Caenorhabditis elegans: one gene and its partner. The protein of the gene in region 2 interacts with the protein of the main gene of each other region in a pairwise test. Each region holds a gene or a part of one and is shown on either strand. Other genes may lie near its edges.

Region 1 (4,436 bases), 2.0 Mb from region 2:
GGGATTGAGAATAATAAAATTCCGAGTGAGCACATGGTCTTTGATGTCTATTTCTCTAATTCTCCAAAAAATTTCCCATTTTTTTATTTCTGTTCCAGAGGTTCAAAGTTCGGAATTTTGTTTTCTTCTTCGGTTTTTTCCCGTCAAAAATGAAATTTGAACATCAACGAATAGAAATATTCTTGGAAGATCTTGGAAGATTATATAACCTCATCTTCAGGATAGGTAATATTTAGGAAACAATATTGCCAAAAATGTGAAATATCCGAAAATTTTTCGTTAAAAAATCTTAAACAATTTTTCAAAAGTTCAAAATGAGTGGTAAAAGACAAAATGTCGTTTTTTTGTTCGCTTCAAAATGTGGTGTTTTCATATTGATAAACGTCATCAACCAAAGATGCAAAAAAAAGAGAAGAGACAGCAGTATTACAAAACACATTCCCCCTTTGCGCTATCTTCGTGGTTTTTGGTGTCTTATTACTCATCAAAGAGCGGACAGAGAGAGAGAGAGGAATAGAGAGAAAAGGAGAGAGACTCACAATCCTCCTTTTTTGCTGAAAAGTGCATTTGTGCCGAATTGCCTGTTCTGATGTTGATTTCCATTTGAATATGCGGCTAAAGTTGCAGAAGTGGAGGCGGATATCCGGGAAAACTTGTGCAAATTGTTCGATATGAATCGGCGTCTTGTGGCGATCCGCATCATTGTTTCATCACCTAAAAATTGTTTATTAGTGAAGAAAATATGATTATTATGACAAAAAAGGAGGCGAAAAATAAATAAAAATAGTATAGAAATGAGTTATCGGCTATATTCTCTAAATATCACAAGTTTTGCACAGAAAGCAATGGAAAAAAAATGAGATCGAAAGAGGAAATAAGAGAGAAAATTAATCCGATTTGAGCTTCTTCTTGAGCAAAATAGGAGCCAGCGACAAAATCGCCGAACCCGTAAGTAAAACGATAGAACTCCAACTCCATGCTACACTGGTATGGCTCAATTGTTCCAGTGTTGAGCCAGCTTGAATATACAGGAAACTTGGTGGAGCAACGCCTAGAAATGTTCCCCAGAAGAATGGAGCCAGTGGAACATCTAGAACAGGACTGGCAATGTTGATTAGCCAATTTGGAACAATTGGAGTTACTCGAAGGAAAATCATATAGTTCAGAAAGTCATCACGATGCTTGCTCAGATCATCCTGCCATTTTGCGATTCTTTCGGGAAACTTTTGCAAAACAAATGATCGTCCAAAAAGTTTAGAAATGGTGTAGCAGATGGCGGCTCCAGTTGCAGAGCAGGAGCACACCAACACAATTGCCACATAGAATGGAAACAGGTATCCTGATAGAATTGTTAGAAAAATAGATCCAGGGATAGCGAAGGACTGTAGAAATACGTAGACGACAATTACACCGCACAGAACTACTGAATAGTTGTTCTCCTTGTACTTCGAGAGAACTCTGCCCAGCTGCTTAGCGTCTTCCAGATTCCTGGGATATTTCAAATGAACCTTCTCATCTGCCGAGACTTCAGGAAAATTGCTGTATACAGCAAAAATTGAGACCGCAAAAGTGGCGAAAATGAGTAGAACAAGCCACGGATGTGAAGTTTGGGATGATTTTGTTTCCATAATATCTGAATGTTAAATTCTTTTGTGCACGGACATTACGGGTGAATTAGTGTAAAGACAACATTAAAACATAGAGATGGGAAATAAAAAGATAACATGATTAAAAACTATTTACGAAATACATCAAAACTCGATTTATCCTGTAACATACGTAAGAAGTATGTCAAATTTTAAGAAGATAATCGTAGATTTAGGATTTTTACTACAACAAAGCCTCTTAACCGAAAATTGTTCACAAAGTGTGTTTAATAAAAATCAAACAAATAATTCGAGTTTTTCCTGGATTCAATAGCGTTAGTGCTTCACATTTAATTTAATCAAACAAACTTATGCAAAACTATTTCGCAATATTACTATTCAGATTTCTTTAACTGTGAGAGTTAATCTATATATATATATATATATATATATATATAATATGTTCTTATATATGTTAACTTTTCCGAAATTCTAATTGTGTAATTGAAAAGTTTTGGAAAACAGGTGTTTTCGAGAAATTTTGCAGAAAGAAATGTTGCATCTTTACTTGAACTAGATTTTCTACTCTATTCTTAATTTATTTATATCAGTATATGTTTAAAATAACGTCAAAAGCGGAAACATGAAACAAATTGATTCAAAAGAGCTCTATAATCTTGCGAAGACAGCGGAGGAGAGAAAACAGCGGTAGAGAAAGCAGAGAAAAACGAAAATCGATAATTTCGGATTCAAACTCGACGAGAATGCTTTAAAATTGAATTTATATAAAGAATACTCTCGAAAACCGTGAAAAAATTTAATAAAAATAATCATTAGTGTATATTATTTAGAAAACGGCTCTTCGGTGCGGGACCCGCCACCAAGAAAATTCTATGCGCCTTTAAAAAGTCAGCCGTTTTTATTTATTGATCATCTGATTTCTAAGATTTCTGCTGAAATTAAAAAGGTTTTCATTTAAAAAAGTAATATTTATTGATAATTGTTGCTCGGATAACTTTAAATTTATTTTCTTATAATAATTGCATCATTCTCTATTGGAAACGCTCAACAATATATCATTTTTTAGACAAAATGGAAACAAACTTCATTGGTGACGACTATGGACCGCTCTTTCACTACCAATATCGTCTTATCGTTATTGGGGATTCAACAGTTGGCAAATCTAGTCTTTTACGGTACTTCACAGAAGGAAAAATGGCCGAAATCAGCGACCCAACTGTCGGAGTAGACTTTTATGCAAGGATGATTGAGTTGAGGCCTGGATATCGTGTTAAATTGCAACTATGGGATACAGCAGGACAGGAAAAATTCAGGTATGTGGATTTTTTTAAAAAGAATATTAGCTGATTAAAAAAAATATTTTTAGATCAATTACAAAATCCTACTATCGGAATTCTGTTGGAGTCCTTGCAATCTACGACACAACGAATCGAGAAAGTTTTGAGCATGTTGAAAATTGGGTTAAAGAAGCAGCATTAAATTTGGGTGGTCCAAGCCCATCGAAGTGTGTCTTCCAATTAGTCGGAACAAAAAGTGATATGGATTCACAGCGACAGGTAATTTTTGAACAAAAGTTGTGTTTAAAAAATTGGTTAAAAGCTTTCAGGTAAACTATGAGGAAGGCGAGTACTTTGCCAAGTACCATAAAATGAAGTTTATCGAGACGTCGTCGAGAACAGGAGACAATGTTAATGAAGCTTTTCATATGATTGCACAAGAGGTTTTTTTGAAAATGTTTCAATTTTATGATGTAATTTTCAAATTTTTAGATTCAAAATCGAGTCGACGACGGAGAACTGCGGCCCGTGGATGGCTGGGAAGGCCTTAAAACTGGTATTATGAGGTCACAATCCGTGTGCCTATCCGAAAGAAGTTTCCCTCAAAACAGCAGCGCAGGAGCTTGCGGATGTTGATAATTTCTCCTCAATTTTTTAATTTTCCCCGTAGTCATAATTTCGCGTAGCGTTCTTATAAACATCAAAAACTCAGCTATTTTGTGTACTTCCTGTGAGCTTTCTCCTTCATCCAGTGTCACCAACCTCACCTACTCTCCCGGCATGCATTCTTTTGAAATAATTTCTAGTCGTTCTGTCCAAAAACTTCAAAAAAAAAGATTTTTTTTCAAACTTTGTTGTAAAAATACAATTTTACAGTCGAAAAACTAGGAAATTATCGGGATTAGAAGAAAAGTAAGAATCACAATCACTATTCAGGACAACCTGTCAGGGGTATCGGGAAATATTGGTAAGTTTTAGAAGGTCTTGATTTGACAACAATTGGTCTTGGGGAAGGATGGGCATTTTGAGAGTGAATATACAAAATAGAAAGGAGAGGAAATAAATTAGATGAAATACAAAGAATTATGAGAAATTCGAGAAGTAGAAGCAATTGTTTATTGTGATCCAGAAGGGGCAGAGCAAACACTTCGAACATCCCAAATCATAATCACACGATTCTGTCCACTGGTAACTAGAAGTCCGAGAGTTTCCTGGAGATGCATAGCAGTGATTCCAGTATGGATTTCATGTGGAATTGCAAGTGGAGTAAGGCTAAAATTGAAAATAAGTTTCATCAGTCATTTGCTTTACAACTTACTTGAAATTCTGTGGATTATCTTTCATTCGTGCATTGCAGTCATTACAAATGCGAATTTTCGTCTCATATCCCATTGGTGGATAGGTGGTCCAGTTGTCACAGCAAGATCCACAGACTGCTGATCCACAGGTTCTGCAGTGATGTTGTCTCAATCCGACCACTTTCCTCTGCCACATTGCTTGAAGATTCCAGAAGAACGGTTGATTGCATTTCTGACAGCAATCCGAAGTTTTC
Region 2 (9,886 bases):
AGGATCAGCCGCCTCCATACTCTTCTTGAATTAAAAAATCTCTCTCTCAACAAAAACTTTTTTAACCTCCCTGTGCTTCAATTCACTTTGTATGCTTGTTACGAGTTATTTTCTTACGAATTCCCATCGAAATTTTTCTTATAAAAATCTACTGAATTGATTGTTTAAAAATATGTAATAAATGAACGTTTCATTAGTCGAGATTTGGAATAACAATAAATTAGATTTTATTTTTCTGCGTAGATTTTTCTTCATTCTTGGATGACACGCTCTTCGCCGGTCCGACCATTGGTCACCGTGATTTTTGGAAGAGGTCCAAGGTCTCGTGGAGGTTCAGGAGTCTGAAAATTGAGAATTAGAAAATGTGAAACTCCAAAAAAAATGAGTCCAGAATTTAATAAAAATTTTGTGTCAAAAAAACTTTTAGGTATTAAATAACTACAATGTACATTTAAATCATAGACTAAGCGAGTATCCAAACTTTAAAAGTTGATGTCAGATGCAGAAGTGTGGCGGTTTTATGAAGGCACCTGTCTATCTAATGCCTAATTCGATAGTCAGTCGCTAAACCGAAATATGTCGGGTGCTTGAATTTGCTTGAATTGACAGCACTGAAGGTAAGCTTAATCTAGTATATTGCACAAATACCAAGCTCTTGATTTTACGCCACATATCAGAGAAGTAGGCAGCATTTTTGTGGATCTCCATGGAAAACAGAATTGTCAAAAAAACTAAAAAGTAAAAAGTAACCGGACACCTAAAATAACGGAGGCACCATTCAACAACAAAAAAAAACAAAAATCTCTCACCTTGCGTCTATTGTACTTGAAGTGGCATTCTTTGAGGCAGGCAATAAGTAAAATAAGTAGAATAGCCGTCAGAATGCACACCGGAACTAGCTGTTCCCATGTCGTCGGACCACCGTCGTATTCGTCAATAATCGGTTCGCTGGTCATTTTTCTCAGAGGAGCATATTTCTTGAACTGGAGAGCAGCAGCTTCGCAAGAGCAAGGGGCTGCTCTGGTTGTTGTTGTTGCTCCAAGAGCCAGTGCAAATAAAAGGCGGTAGAGAGAGACAGTGTCCGGACGGTGCGAAATCGTGAGCCTGCAGTCTATTGTATCCGAAAACGGACAGAGAGAGAGGCAGAGAGAGCCACCATTTACGGATCTCGTTGCATTGTTTTTGCATTCTGATTTTTTTCGTAAATTGTGGAGGATCAAGCAAAGGTGTTTAGTCGTTTATAAATAGAATTGAAATCCGAAACGTAAAGAAATTTTCGAACCTTGATTTTGGATGTTTTCAAGCCTTTTGAAATGATTTGGTAACATTGGAGCTCGAATATTTTGAAGTTTTTAGAATTTTGGAATCTAGAACTAGAATTAAGGAAACTTCAGACATCTAAGAATCAAAATTTTTAATTCATCACGGTATTTGGCGCCAACTTTTTCTCAAGTTCAGTCCAAAACTTGACATGGTTACACTATTGAGCTTTTGAACCTCGTTGGATCCGATCTACGGCTAGTTGGCGCGGATCACCGTTTTCTCTGATCTTTTGTCTCTGATATTTTGAAATTCTGTTCAATTTAAATTACAAAGTATTTTATTCTATAGCCAATTGGATGGGAGAAAAGTGACATCAAAAATGAAACTGTAGTAGAGTTTGTGGAAATCCGTACAAAGTGAGGAAAGAATGGAATAATACATTGTTATGAAATGTTTACAAATTCGTTGACTGGTCCATATTTTGTTTCTTGAGATACTCGAGATTCACATAGTCCGGGTCTTCTCCCATGATAGCGTTCTTGATTGTTCCCGAGAAGAGCATACTGTCTGATGTTCCATACTCATCCTGGTTGCGAAGGAACTGGAAAATATGGTGTTTGTAGAGTTAGACAGGTATAGCAGCTGACATTACACAGGTTCAGCCACTTGTTACGTCTTACCTCTTCATCTAAAAATGGATTGGTCTGAACCATCGGCTGCGCGGCTGCATCGGGAACCGAATGACCTCGTTGACGGAGTTCCGCATCAAGATGATACCTGAAAATGAAAACACCTGACGGTTAAGTGCACTTGTCAATATTTGCTAAAGCTTTTGCCCATGACGTTTTTCCTCTCACCTGTATTGTTGATATTTCTGTTGAGTTTGGAAGACGTACTGCTTCTCCTCCATTCCCAAAATTCGCAAGAAGTTTTCCAATTCGGGAATTTCAAAAGCGTCCCACTAAAATACGAAATTGCAATCAAGAAAAGAAAAGATGCATACCAGAATGTCACCAGTGTCGTTTTCCTGCAACACCAAAGCTCGGCCACAATGTGGGCTCTGCCAATTGAGCACAACTTTTAGAGGACACGCGTCGTCAGATATTCTCGTTAGCTTTCCTGAAAACAACAATTGGGTTAATCTGAATACACAGTTTTTAGAACGAAAATTTTCTTTTTAAAAGTTTGACAATTTATTACATTTTTCTTTCAACATTTGGCAATTAACCAAAAGTCTAATTTGGAAAACTACCTAAGTTTTGGTAAATTGGGAAATTAATCAAATTTTGTCAATTTTTTAAAAATTTACCGAACATTTGGCAATTTACCAAAATTTTGCCAAATTTTCAATGTGTTTTCAAAAACTTCTCCTACAATTCTGACACTTTCCAGAACCTTTACTTACTGTTCAATGTACATGTAGCCTCATCAGTAATCTGTTCGCACTCATAAAGTGCAAACTTCCTCGGGTTATCGGCAACTCGGAACTTCTTCAGCAGTGTTACAATCATTTTTCTCGCAGTTGTCTTGCTATCGATATTTATCACTTTTGCAGTGTTTCTCGGTAAGAAAAATGAAGTAATTGTTCTTAAAGATGTGGTTTTTGCCGTCGACTTTGCAGTATTCACAACATCATAAACAGTTGGTGGAATGACTCCTTGAACAACACTAATCGGTCGGCTCAAATTCATATTGACATGAATGTGACCTCCAAAGTTGACACCGTCCTCATGTAATGTGATTTCCATTCCCTTTGCCAAAGAGTTATAGGAATGGATTTTCCGTTCGAGATCCATTTCCTTGTACTCATCAGTCCACTCAAATGGTGTATCTTCCTTTACATATCTTTCCACAACTCTTAACGTGGCATATCTGGACTCTGGTGGAGCACTTGGTTCTTTCGTCCTGAGACTATCAACTGGTGAAAAGGATTTGGGTAATGTAAAGGAATTTTTCACGGAAAAAATTGGATTCTCTGCTGAAATCCCTGCTGAATTTCCATTGCCGTTTTCCTTATCAGATCCAGTGCTAGAGCTCATTGCTGGTGGAAGAATAAGACCTTTTGGAATGGTTCCGAGAGTACCGTCAAGTTGTGGATAAATTGAGTCAAATTCAGTTGAAGAAGCGAGAGAGCTTCCAGGAGATCTACAGTCAAGGGTCACTAAGTCACGACATCTTGCATGGCAGGTGTAGTTACAATCTGAAAATGTTTAATTTACAGGTGGGGCTGCATTCGGGAATAAACCAAGACTTTGAATATTATCTATTATTTCAAAACTTACCAAAAAATCAGTATTACCAACTTAGTCGCTGCCGTCAAAATGTGAGTTTTTTTTTTTTACTTTTGTGTACCAAAATTTTCCAAATAAAAATTAGGGAAATTTTCAATTTGAGCGAATATTTCCAAAAATGTTCCTTATTTTCCCCAATCCCAACTATGTATAGAAAAACCCTTACGTTCACACTTGAGCGCTTCCTTCAGAATACCCCAAATGAAATCTCCGCACTTGTCGCACCATGTTGGATGTAGTAGGGAATGTGTTTTGAAACTGTGATTATTTATCTTATTTGCTCCTCCTCCAGTTGTTATCAGGTCTTTCAGAGGGCCAAAGTGTTGCCGTTCTATTGTATCATTCCAAACGTGGTTCGAATCCAAATCGGCGAGAAATGTGGCGCCGAAATCCCAGATCTGGAAAAAAAAGGAAAAAATATACAATAGACGGTCGACTTCAAATATGTGTAAAATGTCAACACATTCTGCTAGTCTGTTTTAGTATTTTTCAAGCAATTTTCATCAGTTCAACTTCTACAAAAGTTCAAGTTTCAATATTTGCATTATCAATTATGAGGGCCTAATTTTAAAGGCTTGCCTTAATTGACTAATCTATGTACATTCTCTGACACTTTTTCAGACAATTATAACAGTCTTCTTTTATTTTCAAATATTTGAATTTGAACTCTGAACTGCGCTTTAAAAAACGTACATCAACCTGCTCTCCATCATCCTCCTGCCCTGCTCCACCAAAATGATCAAGCTGTACTGGCCTAAAGACGAGTGTACTCTCATCGTACTCGCCAATTGATTGCTCACTTTGTGGGCTACTTGTCGATGATGTCTCCTGCAACACTCAATCATCTCATCACCTTTTCCCACTGGATCCTGTCACACATAGACTAAAAAATAGGTAAAATACCCACCATTTTCTCGTCGTCCGATTTTATTCCCAACTGTGACATCCAATCGGGAAACAGACTCAATTGTGAGAGTTTTGTTCGAAGACCTCCGAACCAGCTGGAAAGAAAAAAAATTTGGTTGTGAAAGTGTGGATGATGCTCTTTGGTGACAGGAAATAGTGCGAGAAGTGGTGGAGTGTGGGTAGAGAAAGAAATTGAAAAGAGCAGATGGTCGTTTGGGTGGCGCAGAATGTCAAGGGTCGAGGATGCAAATGGTGAAGAGCTAGTGAACGGTTTTATGAGGAAATTATCGGTGGTTTATAAAGGATGAATTGGGTAATAATTGGGTTCTATAAAACTCTTAAATTAAATAACCAGAAGGAACAAAAAAGTTTGCCTGCCTTCAAAGTTACCTACCCCTACTAAGTGTATACATGCTTTCCTACTGCACAATATATGAAATGTCAAACACATTATTTAATTCAGAAGTGTATTACTGTAAAAAACAAGCCAAAAACTGAGGTCAAAGTACCTAGATAGTAAGTAGGTAGGTAAGTAGGTAGGTAGGTATAGAGTTGCGTCTACATTCCATGGTGATTTTCGCGGAACGTCGTACTTAGCTAATCCTATCACGCAGCTCTTGGCATGCGCCTGGCACCCAAGTAGGTAGGTAGGCACGAACGCCTAAAGGTGTCCCTTCCATTTGCCTTAATTTTAGCGTATAGTATTGACAAACGCTGAATAATACTCTAGAACATTAATTATGAAGTGCAACATTAAAAATGTGAAAGTTTATCCGCTGTATAATATATTGCGAAAATTCCAAATCAATAAACATATATCAAATTGATAAACATTTAGTAGGTTTTTCGTGAAAATGAAGATTTCATCATGAAAAGATAGGAAAATTGAAAAGGCAGTCAAGCAGAGAGAGATAATTGAATGTTTCCGTTTTATCAAAACATATGTTTTCTCATTTTCATCAATTTCCGCAAACGTCTTGCAAGAGAGATTTGAATCCAGAAAAAAAGTGTGCTTGGCACTGCATATACGTCAATATAGCCGAAGATTATCAGCTCAGATGCAAATCTTTTTGGATATTATATAAACTCCCAGAAAATATAAAATTTGTGGCTAGGCCACTGTACTTTGGTGACTTATATCTCAATTCAATTTAAAGATATTAAAAAAATTAAAACTACAAAGTTATAGAGAAACAACCAATAAGTATTTTGTTAGTTGACAGTTTTTTGATAAAACCAAAGATAGTGGAGGTATGAGCTGTCAAAGTTGGGAGTAACACATGGTGCATCGACGCATCGTTAGCATCTACTTCAGTTCGGCCTAACTATGGGAATAAATCTAAATAGACTAAGTTGTGTACCCATTAAAACATGACAAACGAGATCCATTGAGCACCTGAAGTCCAGTTGGAAAAAAGTGAAAACGAAAGAAACGACCTTATGATCGAGTAGAACCGAGGATCGATAAGTTGGATGGGACGCGGGGGATACGCAGACATTATAAGACATTAGAAATTCAATCAGATTTCACATACCTAATGTTAGATGAAGATGTCGACGGTTGGAAGGCGTATGATTGGTAGGTTGGGTCGTCAGTCGCCACACGGACACTTTGTTCACTCTCTGAAAACTTCTTCTTCTTTTTTCTTTGCTTTCACTGATATCTATAGGCTTTTTGCTATCTTTTGCCCCACACAGAAAGAGTGTTCTCTTTTCTCTCTTGTCACTTCACTTTCAACTGATTGTCAATAAAAAATGAGGAGAGTGAAATGTTGTAAACGAAACGTGCTCGTTGTGCAGAAACTCATCGCGTGCAATTTTTGATATAGATCTGAGCTACTGTTTTTTTGTTGATAAACTTTAAAGTTGGAAATTGGTGGAGTTCCAGTTTATGATTCGTTTTTTGAACAGATAATGTCAGGACCGCAGTTGAGAATTGGAAGGAGTATCGTAAGTCGAAAAATTGTTAAAACCGGTTATAGTGTCCATAGTGTCTAACATAAGTAAGTTATAGTAGTTATAGTTATAGTTATAGTTGTAGTTATAGTTGTAGTTGTAGTAGTTGTAGTTATAGTCATGGTGTCGACAGACGTCTAAGATGCCCAAAATAATTTAGCAAAACTTTTCAACAAATTTTTCAAATATTGTTATTTACAGTCAAAAAATGATCATAATTTTGGAAGTTGAACAAAAAATTTCTTTTTTTCTACGAGTTTTGTATTTTACCATGTATAAATTGTTATCATATAATCATTCTAATGGGTTCAAATTTGCAGACATTCTCGACATTACCCAAATAGTCCTCACTTTTAAAATATTTGCCAATTTGTTTTGGAAAATTGGCAGTTTACCAAATCCCTGCTAGAAATATTGGCAATTTGCCAAAATATCGGCAAAAATTTGGCAATTTACAAAAACGTTTTGGAAAATTAGGCAACTCACTAAAACTTTCTTTTTCAATCTAACTTTTATATATATATGTTTTCTCAACCATTTAATATGGTCAGTGGCCTAGAAAAGTCAAAATGCCTGACAGTTTTGACACAACCTTTAAAATTTTTCCTGTTGTTTAATAAAAACAAAAATTAAAAATTTGAAAACTCACCTTTAGCTTTATCATTATTATTTACAACGGACCGAAGCATGTGCACATACAGTTTTGATCTGAAATCATCATACATTCCATATTCAAAAGTACAAATTTAAAGTCAAAGTCAGCAGCATAAGTACATACACACGGTTTCTTCCGAGAATTGAGCTATTTAAAAGGGATATGGCATGAAAAATTCATAAGAGTTTTGGTTTTTGCTGCAAGACTCGTCCATTGAAAAGAGGAAGGGAGGATCACAAGTGAATGAAATATGAGAAGAAAAGGGAGGAAAATATGAGATACGGAAGAGAAAAGGAACAAATGACGGTGTGGATAATTGTGAGAAGATGAATACGAGTAACCGTAATTGTGGCAGAAGATGGTAAAAGTCGAACTGGCGTCGTCTGAGCGGCAGCAAAATAATTAACCACTACGCCACCGGTGGTTTTTAAGATTTTTTTATTTGATTAGCAGTAAATATAGAAGTGTTTTTTAAGTTTTGTGAAAAACCTTACAATTTGCCAATTTCAAAGTTTTCCCAATTTTGGGCATAGAAAACTGGTATTCAAAAGAGACATCTACTAAAGTGAGGTCAGGCGGACAAACAGAGGACACGAAGAGTGTGTGAATTGGCGAGACGCAGAGATTCGACCACTCCCAGACAGTGTGCAATCCGGGAGAAGCGCAGGAGTGGAGCAATTGTGTGGTGCGCAGCAGGCGGGATGGGGAAGCTGCCTTGTTTGTTGATGTTGTTGCAATCCATTTCTCATCTTTTGCGCGTTCTTTTTTCTCGGGAATTATTCATTTTGTCAATAGACTTGTACTGGAGAGAGATGTATATGTAGATGGGTTTCATGTAGTAGAAATTGAAGTAGTAAGGTATTTAACAACGAAGTGAGATCATCAGAGAGGGTGAAAAGGGGCATATTTGAAAGAATAAATTCAACAAAACGAGCTAGACACACATCAAATAGTAAAAGAGCACTGGGAACCCAAATAACTTGAAACTAATATCACACAGGATCAAACAACAAAAATGTGAATAGGGCATGATGAGGAGAGAGATGAAACATAGAAAACAACATATATAATAAGGTCGAATCAATTGCGGGTGAAAAGAACGTAGAACAGTCCGATCTGCATGATGAGTACGATAAAAACCAGCGCGAAGAGGATGCCGATGACGCGACACTGCCACGCGCCGCTGACCGTTGAGTGTCCGTCTTGTTGCGAGACCGATGTGAACACTGAACCGGGTCGAGTGCTGTAAATAAATAAAATTGATGGGAATCTTGAAGGTTAATAGAAGGAAAAACGTAGAAAAACCAAACAGAATTTAGTCAATCTTTTCAATAAATGCTGGTTCTTGCAAAATATTATTGGCTCCAAAATACCGTAACCACGGTCTCGAAACGAAAATCTAATCTTCAAATTTTAAATCTAAATTGAATAATAACGGAATTTTCAATTCTTTTTAAATTAATTTTAGTTTTCATCTGAGCTTACGTGACCTGTGACTTGAAAGGTCTAACCAAAATTCCACATATTATTTATCAAAGTCCAACGTCCAATCAGTTCTAAGTTTTTAAAAGTCTAATATACAATTATCCTGCACAAATGCTATCACACTATTGCTTCTCTAATTATCATTCTAAACAAAAAATAACTGATTGTTCAAGATTAAAGGGTTAAGTTTTAATAAATATTTCAGTTTCAACAAATCTTACTGTGCTTCCGGTGCCATGTAGTGGCTCCTGTCGTATTGTGAAGCTACCATAGATCGTGGTGGCCCGAACAATGATCTAGTCGGTGTGTGATTCTGTTGCTGAGCCATTTGCCGGTGTTGTCTTGAGAATATACTTGGAGAATCGACAGATCTCGTATCAAGATTCAAATTTGCCACGGAGGGTGTAAGCTGTTGAGCAGTCATTCTTTCATTGATATTTCTGGATAAAAGTCCTGGCTTGAAATGACTGGAACGAGTTGATTGAGCAACCGATTGAGCCGCCATCGATTCACTATCATCCCAATCCATTGATTCCACGTGATTGTTAGGTTTAGTCTGATAACTTTGCATATTTTCCTTGTTCTCCCGACTTCTCATTGCAGACCACACTGGACCATTTGTTATTTCACGGAGCAATGGTGGAGAGGAATTCATTGCTGGAGGGCTTGCTGATGGCGTATGTGGAGATCTTCGAAGAATCGTGTGGTCATGATCGAGAAGTGAAGCGTTTCGACTGTTTTGTGAAGAGCATTGAGAGATCGGAGTTGACGCAACAGAGAAGGCACTGAAAATTGAAAAAGTTGAAGGAATTTTTAAAAATAAAATATTTATTTAACCTTGAAACAATCTTATTCGGTCGTTTCTTATGCAGCTTTTTCCTTGGAAGAAGTGTCACTGCCATTGAAAGGATCGTTGAAAACGAAGCACATGCACCTCTGACAAGAGCGACATCTTGTGATAAATTCTGAAAAAAAGAGGTGTAAAACTTGCAAAGGGTATATTTTGAAACTCACATCACTTGAAGTCAAAACTGTTAGCATTGCGAGGATCAGAAGGATGGGCAGCAGCAGGTCGGGAAGAGTAACTCGGCATCTGAAATTAAAATTACAGTTTTTTTGTATTGTAGAATGAAACTTACTTATTATTAAATGCAGCAATCAAATGTGTAGTGAAGATCAGAAAATTGATGACGAAGGAATATTTATAAACTTCTGGCAGAATATCTTGAAGAGCCTTTGGCAAATTGATCAGCGATGCTCCTGCATCTTGCTGTAAGAAGTCGATATTCGCCAAAAAGAGAATAATTGAAGAGATGAGGCATCCAAAATG

What was found.
Region 1: the proteins of rsf-1 (region 2) and rab-39 interact in a two-hybrid assay, tested with the Caenorhabditis elegans proteins (one study listed by BioGRID).

The regions. Positions count from the first base shown.
Region 1 is NC_003280.10:9,321,152-9,325,587, reverse strand, and holds rab-39 (Ras-related protein rab-39), read left to right. Parts: upstream 1-2,667; 5' UTR 2,668-2,678; coding exon 2,679-2,920; intron 2,921-2,973; coding exon 2,974-3,163; intron 3,164-3,213; coding exon 3,214-3,327; intron 3,328-3,376; coding exon 3,377-3,520; 3' UTR 3,521-3,730; downstream 3,731-4,436. Other genes in the region: eat-3 (Dynamin-like GTPase OPA1, mitochondrial), read right to left, coding at 540-700; egli-1 (Transmembrane protein 41 homolog), read right to left, coding at 888-1,628; wdfy-2 (WD repeat and FYVE domain-containing protein 2), read right to left, coding at 4,000-4,156, 4,203-4,436. UniProt on the Caenorhabditis elegans protein: Small GTPases Rab involved in autophagy. The small GTPases Rab are key regulators of intracellular membrane trafficking, from the formation of transport vesicles to their fusion with membranes.
Region 2 is NC_003280.10:11,303,637-11,313,522, reverse strand, and holds rsf-1 (Ras association domain-containing protein 1 homolog), read right to left. Parts: upstream 7,125-9,886; 5' UTR 7,106-7,124; coding exon 7,066-7,105; intron 6,084-7,065; coding exon 5,996-6,083; intron 5,181-5,995; exon of another isoform or gene 5,031-5,180; intron 4,556-5,030; coding exon 4,462-4,555; intron 4,383-4,461; coding exon 4,248-4,382; intron 3,953-4,247; coding exon 3,721-3,952; intron 3,464-3,720; coding exon 2,669-3,463; intron 2,383-2,668; coding exon 2,267-2,382; intron 2,225-2,266; coding exon 2,121-2,224; intron 2,041-2,120; coding exon 1,944-2,040; intron 1,865-1,943; coding exon 1,718-1,864; 3' UTR 1,583-1,717; downstream 1-1,582. Other genes in the region: T24F1.4 (EGF-like domain-containing protein), read left to right, coding at 1-29; T24F1.7 (Small integral membrane protein 36), read right to left, coding at 252-341, 810-956; samp-1 (Transmembrane protein 201 homolog), read right to left, coding at 8,152-8,314, 8,778-9,341, 9,394-9,521, 9,571-9,649, 9,696-9,886. UniProt on the Caenorhabditis elegans protein: Involved in embryonic morphogenesis. Plays a role in the organization of apical filamentous actin in epithelial cells of the developing embryo. May play a role in let-60-mediated vulval development. May induce nuclear condensation.